2 linked regions of the Schizosaccharomyces pombe genome follow. The protein of the gene in region 2 purifies or fractionates together with the protein of the main gene of each other region. This does not show direct contact. Each region holds a gene or a part of one and is shown on either strand. Other genes may lie near its edges.

Region 1 (4,923 bases), 280 kb from region 2:
GAAGTATATAGCAATTCATAAGAAATTTCGGTATCTTTCGTTGCATCCATGTAATTTGACGTGTTTAAGAAATACTGCTTAAATGAAATAGGAGTAAAAAGTGACGGAACGTATGCCGGTCCCAAAGGACCGGGCTTAATATTCTTCCTCTTGTTCTTCTTCTTTTTTTTATTATTCTTCTTTTTTTTCTTCTTTTTCTTGTCTATCTCATAATCTGATTGAGACTGCTCTTCAAGCGTTTCCCAGTTAAAAGAAGTGATTTCAGTTAGCTCTTCCCGATCATCCAGCTGATTAGCAATATCAGAAATATTGTACTCGTAAACGCGAAAAGTTGGAAACATTTCAGGTATAATCGAACCACCAACGGTAGCCAAGGAGTAATTCCCGACGGTTCCATTAAGAAACTCCTCTGTTAAATTCTCGGGAAATGTAGGAAGCTCCGCGTATTGGGCATCAATTAAAGATTTTACATATTTTGGTTGCGCACTTTTGATTCCATAAGATTCTGTATCAACAGGTAACTTATCGAATTCCAAAAACACAAAATGGTTTATGTTCATATGACCATAGAGTTGTCCAACTATAATATCTCGAAACTCATAAAGCAAATCCGTAAAAGAAGTATAACAATCTTCATACCACTGGCCCCTTGTAGGGGGAATATGTCCTAGAAGCCAAACTTTCATTCCCTTTAGCCGATACGCTTCAAGCTGTATTTTGAACCATCGCATAAAAAGAGAACCAGGTTCGTCTAGATTATCATCAGGACAACCATCGACCGCGGCATTTTTGTTTGATAGGTAAAGAGTGTTAATGGAAATTGCTGCTAGCTTGTCCGGAATCACATCACATAGGTAATAAGAGCCCTTTTCAAAAGTGTGTCGTTCCTCATAAGGAATTAAAGCATCCCAAGCACCAGCTAGTTGTCGAGTCATTGAAGATGGACCAGCTTCCATAATGTTATGAGGATATATATCATTATTCCCGATAGCGGAAACAATTGGAACGTCAGGAAACGCCTCTATCATTTTATTAACCAAGTCCTCATTTGAAGCAAGAATTTCACTTTGTGTTCTTGGAAAATGGTTATCATTGTCATGCCTAGAATTATCACCAGTCCACAGTATGAAGTCAATGCCTCCCAGAACATCATCTTGATGTTCCTTAAGCCATTCCAATGTCTTATCAATTAATGCTGGTGAAGAATCACATTCATAACCAGGACCAGGAGAGAGGTAACCCACTTTGCTTTTACCCAAGGGAGTATCGTCAGAATTATGATCATAGGAATGACAATAATGATCGACGGTGGATCCTTTTTCGTAATAAATGTCAGGATGCATATCGGTGATATGCAAAAATCTACCAACAAGTGGTTTTCCTTTGCTATTAACTAAATCATTTGTATGCGCTTTATTTCGCATACTCATAGGGTTGCCAAATGCAAAAGAAGCCCATGTCGACTGTACAAAAAGAACAGCAACCGTGATTACAGAGGGACGCATTCTAAAAAGAAGGAAATCGGTATATAAAAGAAAAAAAAACTTTACCTAAGTAGAAAAAAAGAGGACACTTCAGACTAGGACGAAATTTTCCAAAATCTGTAATACAATTTCCCAGGCAATTTCAAAAACAAAAAATGGTGTTTGAAAGATTCAAGGGCTTTTGAACTCAGTACAACTTAAATAAATCAAAATTTCCCAGTAGCCGTTAATGAAATAAGTATTGTTAATCTGTTTGACAAAAAGATCGATCTAAATTAAGATCACGAGCGGGTAGTCATGAACCGAAGTCCTGCAGAGTCAATAGAAGTTGCTTCTGAGCTTTGCAAACCCCAGAGAACACTTAATTTGGGTTTGGACTATTCGATGCTCGTAATGGAAGCAGTTAAAAGATCCGTGATACTCTTCCCTAGTGAAGACGAATGTTGTGTTCACCGCTATATATGTATGATGAAAGATGTCGCATTTTATATTTTGTCAGAGCTTGCATTACGGTATTAGTTACTAACTTAATTTCGTTAAATGAATAAGGAGGAAAGTGTTTTGCTCATTAACCATTGTCCTGACGCCTTAAAGCGTTGACAGCATCTAAGAACGGGACACTCGTAATTTTGATTGGGAATAAAGTATCCTTCCACATATACTTGCCCCATCAACTCAGTTGATTCTTAATAATAGAATTTACGCCAAAAATATTATTCGTGCAATTGCTTTGAAAGTTGATATAAAAACTTCTCTAAAGGAGTTATTTGAAAATTGTGTTGATTACCGGTTGGTTCGTTTCGTTATAGTATTTGTTGGACAAGCAGGATGGAGAAAAATACAGTTACAGTTCCAAAAACCTTGTTTTCACAAGTTATTCATATTTTCAAGTATGCGGCAATTAATTTGGGCCTTCCTTTCTTGAATGGAGTTATGTTGGGATTCGGGGAGATCTTTGCTCATGCATTTATCCACTCTCTTGGTTGGGCTCCAGGTCATACTAGGATTTATTCTATTCAAAGACATCAGTATATTCAAGCCTAAAATGAAGCATAGCTGTGCGAGGAAATTTATCTTTAATATTTGAGGGAAATGGTGTTTGCTTATTCGTGATTTTTTTATTTTTTCATTTTAAGCTGAGGCGAGTATTCATAAAATTTGAGATACTCGAATGCTTAACTCATGTTTCTCTCAGATGTATTATGGTTTCAGCTTTGCACTCTCTTTAATGATCGTTTTCTTTAGTTTTATTGTTTTTATTTTCTTTTCCCACAATATTAAGAGCTTCTTTGGCACAATGCAAAGAATATATATGCTCAAGGGATGGAAAACGAATTAAGCCCAAATGAATTGTGTTTATATTTGCAAAATAACATTTAATTTCCTTTGCATTTAATTTATTTATGATCGTTTTCCTTGAGCTTCCTTCTTCTGTTTTTTAAGTATAATTACTTTTGATTTTATTTATGCCCTTTATATTAACATTATGTGACACGTTATACATCGCTTCTTCGGACCGACAAATTGATTTGAGTAGCATAGTATAGAAAAAGGTGTCAACGAAGATTTATATGAGCTGTGAGACAAGTATCGAAGCTATCATCATTGTTTAAAATTGTTCATTATTTTTACATTACTTTGATTTGAATGACAGTACTACGCTTTTTGTTGTTTTCCTCATCACATCGCTTTTTTAAATAATTGTTATTGTATTCGAACAACGATAGTGCTCTAACTTAATGACTAAAACACGCTTATTTGTAAAGGCGTGTAAGTATTACTATTCTCAGAGCAACAAATCTCAACTGATTATAAATTGATTGCACAGCCCATTGATTCATTAGAATTTTACAGGTTATTTCTGTCGTTGCTCAAGCTTTGAAAAATATACTTTTGAATGATTCTTAAAACTTACATTATCGCATGCTTGGTACACTCGGTTGGCTTTAATGATGTTATAAGACAATTTCAAGTTTGATGATACAAAAAAGGATTCTGATCCTCGAACTGAATCTTCTTGTTTATGCATAAAAAGCAGATACCGACTACTTAAAGTCAGCAAATCTGAAAAAATAAATTATCATTAAATTTTTGTCAAATTTACGAATACTGACTTCACAATTTGCTATATAAACTTGAAGATTTATTGCATTAGCCAACAAGAATACTATATTTCTATTTTCTTCCAAGATGTAGCATGGACAAACCTAAACAGTAGTCGTTCTATATTTTATAGCTATTTAAATAATTAACTATATTACCCATCGCACAGAATTACATAGCATATTATTTAAATCTTGGATATACGCTCTACAAGCATTGCTATACACTTTCAGTGGTTTTTAAAAACATGTATTAACAGGATTCCAAGCAAACTTTAGTACGCATCCAACACAAATAGGAAGTCTACGATCACACAAATTACAGCGATATAGAATTTCGCGAAAAGAATAAACCATTAACTCAAGTAATTTCAAAAGGTTCTTTGTTAACGAATCTGTTTTAAATGTAATAATAAATTTTAATCTATAGCAAATATGTGGACCTTCTGACACTCGCGTACAAGTAGGTTATCTTGTTAGCAAGCTCTTAAAAGATCCATTCATTTATATACGCTCAGTGAATAGCAAATACGAATGCATAGCAAAATACCATGCGGGTAAAAAACCTTCCTATTCGCACTGTCTTGAGCGAGTACGGTAATGTAAAGTGACCATAATACCACTTTATATAGCAAAAAAATACTGTTACTTCAATAGTGACTATGAAAAAAAGCAGTCGCTAGATGAACTAAGTCACAATAATATATTGATCGATTAAAAACTCATTAGTATAGGCATAGTCAAAGCTAGTTGAGTCTTTTAATAAACCGGATTATTTAATCCGTTTGAAGTTGTAAAGAACTGTAAGCGTTGCCAACGTTGATTTTTATTATTCACGGAATCGATCTTGAAAACAAAGGTTGTATTTACTTTCTTTTGCTCTTTAAACAGTAATATTATCATACACATAGTAATCTTTAAAAACTAATGAAAGGATTCTGCTCTTGCATTAACTTTGGAGAGTATCTTCCTTCATTTTCAAACCGAATCAGCGTAATAAAATATACCTATACTCTCTAGCGTATAAAAAATATGAATCCATTTTTTTAAGTTTTTCATTCATCAAATATATATTATATTTATGTTTCTACTTTATTTAGTATGCTTGGTTATCCGTGGACTTGTTAAGCCTCACGCAAACTTTCCCTACTTACCTATACTTTACTGATTCTGCCCACACTACAACTCCCTGTTGATTTATTTTCATCTTGTATCAAATTTGAAGATGTCAGATCGTGAAGAAAAGCTAGCTGCAGCTAAACAAAGGGTATGCATAATATTTTGTAACATTTAACTTACGAGTGCTAGTTGCTGGAGGTCAAGAAGAAAAAACGCCA
Region 2 (4,362 bases):
AAAATTGATTAGAACTTTTGAATTAACTATTTTCACGAAAAAACTGCGTGAGAAAGAGGAGAAATTTAAAAAAAAAAAGACCAAGCGCTTTTGTAAATAGAACACTTAAGCAATAATTATATCGTGTAGAAAATAAAATAAAATTCGGTATTCAGAAGAAAAGGTTCAACTAAAAAAAAAAAACATATCGAACTTCTTTTCATGGATATAAGTGAAAACAAGCAGCGCTAAATAGGAAACGCAAAGAAAACACCGCAAGTTCATATTTTTGATTCATACCTTTAAGTCTGAAGGGTTAGGGCCTTTAATACCACTGAACATGATTATTTACTTGATTAAATAGTTGTGAAGACTATACAGAAAAATGCAGCAAGTTTGGTGTGCGTGTGCTTTATAAGCTGCAGCAAGAACTGATTTACAGAATCAACAGATCTAATACTTAAGGTTCTAGAAATGTTGATTTCTAATTAATTTTTTAATTTTAGTCATGAAATTACTATCTGATGAGGCAGGTATAATACTGGAACATAGATTACTAATAGTCACCCCATTAACGTCGTTTATTAATATGTCGAGGCTGTCGTAGATGCAAATGTCTCATTTTTACTAAACAGTTTGTTCATTTGAACAAAAAGAAAGGAAAAAATAATGAATAGTATCAATAAGCAAAACGATGAATACACACATTTCCAATTTTTTTTGAAGTTCGGATTCAAAAACCGTTACAATTTAATAAATGTCGAGTACATTGATTTATACAGTAATCAAATATTCATTAATTCTTATTCAGATCATAAAGAGAATTTCATCCGAGAACGAATGGCACACTATGGGTTTCATCACACAATATCATAATAGAAACAGAAACAATAAGTATTAAACCAGCGAATGTAAGAAGATTCAGAAATAAATCTTTTTAATTACTAACCAAGCGCCTCCGTTCTAACCAGCGAGCCCATGCTAAATCCAAGGGTTAGTATACAATAAATGTACAGAAGTTTAAGGATGTAGAAAAGGTTAAGAATGAAAGACTAATAGAACAGTAATGGAAACAAAAATGTTTAAAAAATAACGAAAGATGTAAATGTAGACCAACAAGCAGACCATTTAAAAACAGTTTATAGGAAGAAAAAGCTATAATTCAAGCTGATGGAATAAGAAAATCAGTTGTGCTCAATCTTTCTCCAAAAACGGATTTTTTTGCTCTATTATTCAATTATTTGCAAAACTTATTTCCTCTTTGAGAAACTAAAAGCAAATAAAAAAAATCCACCATCTATTCCTATTCCTTTAATTTATACTAACTTACCATGAAATGCGAATTTACGACCAAGAAACTTTCCTAACAACGGGAACACCACCAAACATAAAACTCGTTCCAATTGTTCAATGGAATCCTTTAAATCATCATCCAATTCACTAGAATAGGTATCATCTTCTCCATCTGAAATTGGGTCAATTTCAAGATCTAAAACTTCGGCCATGTTGTTTTCACTAAACTGACTTTAGAATAGTTCGATTGAACTAGCAACGTTGTATTTAGAATTTAATTAAAAAATTTTTCTATTGTCAGCAATCGAAACCCCTTTAACGTATGCTTAAAAGTGTATTATTACCAAGTATGGCTCTGGTGAAGGTCACATAGTGGCTGTTACATTTATACATAGGACATTTGTCGAAACAACATTGATCATGTGAGACTAAATTTTGAAAACAGGGAGTATATTCAGCAAAAATAATTCATATTCACTGATGATAAGAGGTTATTTGTTTCTATATGCTTTACCTATGAGTTTGGGTACATTGTTTGTATTCTTGGTATTGCTAGTTTATTCAATTTCAGATGAAAGCTGAGCAGAACAGCCGCTGTCATGCTATTCGCGGATACCCTTTGTTTCACAACAAATATTTCGACCTAAGAAAAGCCTTTATTTTTGCCATCCTTACCTCTAAGTGCTTTGTTTGGTAACACTTTATTGAAGAATTGATAGACCGTTATAAACATAAAACAAAAAAAAGTTGGGAGTTTTGGTTTTTTTTAGTTACTCTTTTAAAGAATGCATTTTTCCACGAGGTTTCTTGATCGAACACAGTAGGAGCAATATAATTTATCTTCAAAACAGTTGAATGTGAAACATCAATAACTGAAGAAGTTTGGTTTTCATACCTCCTTGCGTATTCCCTATTCATAAATAAATCATATAATTTAGAATTATCCGGTATATGAAGATAGGAATTTGTGTGCTAGAATTTAGCAAGATATAAACAATGCACATTGGTGTGACATTTACAAAATTGGTTGACGAATTCTGTACTCTCACTTTTTGTCAGTAGACGTCTTTTTTAGGATCTTCTCTCAAATTCAATTATAACTAAGTTGCGTGAAACCAGACTAAATTCAATTGATAAAGTTGTTTAGTCAATTAGCATTTTTTATAACAGCATCAATGCATGTCCTAATAAAGAGTTAAGATATTTTTTTTCCTTTTAATCTTACTGTAGAAACTTAAATAGTTATTATCCTCGTAGAATTGCTCTATCCTTATTACGCGCACTCAGGAAGATGAAGACTTCACAAACACCAAATCATTGCTTAATTTTCGAAAACGCTGCGATTGTTGTTGATAGTTGACCAGAAGCATACTAATTTTTATTTACTTATATACTTGAAAAATTGCAAATCATATGGTTGAAAGTCTTTAAGGGAATGACCTAATAAATGCTAGAAAATGAAAATCAACTAACGCATCAATTTCCTACATTATCAAGATGGAACCCCATGTTTATTAGCGATGTTCATAAAATTTCATTTCATCCACATTTACAGCGTAAGTGCTCTTTCTGTAAAATAAATATCACAAAGTGATTCTTACAAATATCTAGGATACATTGGCTTCTGGATGGGATTTCCCATAAGATGGATTCAAATTGTTGGCTATATTGCGGCAATTGATATTTATGAAGGAAAGCATGTTTTAACAGGTAACGAATATCAGCATTGAGGCAATAAGCAGTTCCACTACTGCATACACGACTCATTTAGTTGTTGAATCTAGTTAAGGTTTTTTATAAAATCAACTTTTGAGAAGCATCTGCCTCTATAGCTCCCTTTTTTCTATTTCCTAACTGAATTTAGTGGATGATTGTAGCGGGATGGTATTGCGTGTCGTGTTTATTATTCAAGATGATTTTTCAATGTCAAAAAGAGCAATATCTATGTCTCCTGGAAATGTTGTCTGTGTCTTTGGAAAGATAAATTCTTTCCGATCTGAGGTTGAATTAATTGCTCAGTCGTTTGAAGAACTTCGTGATCCAAATGATGAATGGAAGGCATGGCAGAAAAGGATGAGATACAAAAAAAATTTAACCAAAATCTCTAAAAATCACCATTCAATCATTCGCACACCCAAGAAATCCTATTTTCCTAAAGATCATGCGAAGGAGTTACTTAAGTGCATAAGGCAGATGTGTAAATTAAATGTGCAAGCTGGATTTACAATTGAAGAACTCATTATTTATTTAAAAGCAAAAGAGTTGCACCTCCCACTTGTTCATATATTCAACGTCGAAAATGAAATAGTAGAGAACTGTGATGGAAATCACATACTGGCGCTTAATTTCTCTTTGCAAACATTACTACAACATGGGCGGATTGTGAGAAAGTCAAATTCAGTTTATATGCTTGTCACTTCAAAAGACATAATACGCTTTGTGATTCCTCTGATGGCAAGTGGTCTTCTCGAAGCCCACAAGGTTCAAAGCATAGTGAGAGATTCCAACCCAATGTTTATCACACTCCCTCTTTCTGCGATTGCTAAACACATTTGTCAATTTTTGCTTCGTACAAAAGGGAAATGGAGGCAAGCAAAGAAATATACCTGGGTGCGAGATAATCAGTTTGTATAAAATGAATTTCCAGTTTCCTTTAATATCACATTGACGCGGAGATTTAATTGCCTAAAACTAAGTTCATTGTTCTATATGCAATATTACAATCCTCTATTAATTTAAGAATATGTTTACGGAAACAGATCAATAAGTACACATGGGTATATAAGCGGTTAATCTGATGATGAAATAGATTTACATGTATAAAGCTTTCTTTTTTACTTTTGAATTGATCAGTAGCATCATTGCATCAAATTTAATTAATGGTCAGCACCAATTCATCAGCTGCTTATACAATCTAGGGTAAAGAAATATAACTAAGCATGATAATAAGTTACTCTTAATTTCCTGAAGTTCAAACTTGAAATGCTTTGCATCGCTTACTGGCCTAAGCATCGTACTTCGATTATTATAGTTGGAAGTCATGAGGATAAAACTATGTCTTTTCTGATCATGTCGTAAAATCTAGCTGCT

The links. The genes of interacting proteins can lie anywhere in the genome.
Region 1: the proteins of mim2 (region 2) and mim1 purify together in Schizosaccharomyces pombe (affinity purification with western blotting; one study listed by BioGRID). This does not show direct contact.

The regions. Positions count from the first base shown.
Region 1 is NC_003423.3:880,148-885,070, forward strand, and holds mim1 (MIM complex subunit Mim1), read left to right. Parts: upstream 1-2,312; coding exon 2,313-2,528; 3' UTR 2,529-3,768; downstream 3,769-4,923. Other genes in the region: SPOM_SPBC713.07C (polyphosphatase), read right to left, coding at 1-1,505; SPOM_SPBC713.09 (uncharacterized protein), read left to right, coding at 4,812-4,853, 4,895-4,923. UniProt on the Schizosaccharomyces pombe protein: Component of the mitochondrial outer import machinery (MIM) complex that mediates transport of proteins into mitochondrial compartments. Promotes the insertion of tom70 into the outer mitochondrial membrane.
Region 2 is NC_003423.3:1,161,440-1,165,801, reverse strand, and holds mim2 (protein mim2), read right to left. Parts: upstream 1,633-4,362; 5' UTR 1,485-1,632; coding exon 1,310-1,484; exon of another isoform or gene 1,294-1,309; intron 1,123-1,293; exon of another isoform or gene 961-1,122; coding exon 917-960; downstream 1-916. Other genes in the region: rib4 (6,7-dimethyl-8-ribityllumazine synthase), read right to left, coding at 280-321; telomere cap complex subunit Stn1, read left to right, coding at 2,720-2,828, 2,884-2,982, 3,137-3,906.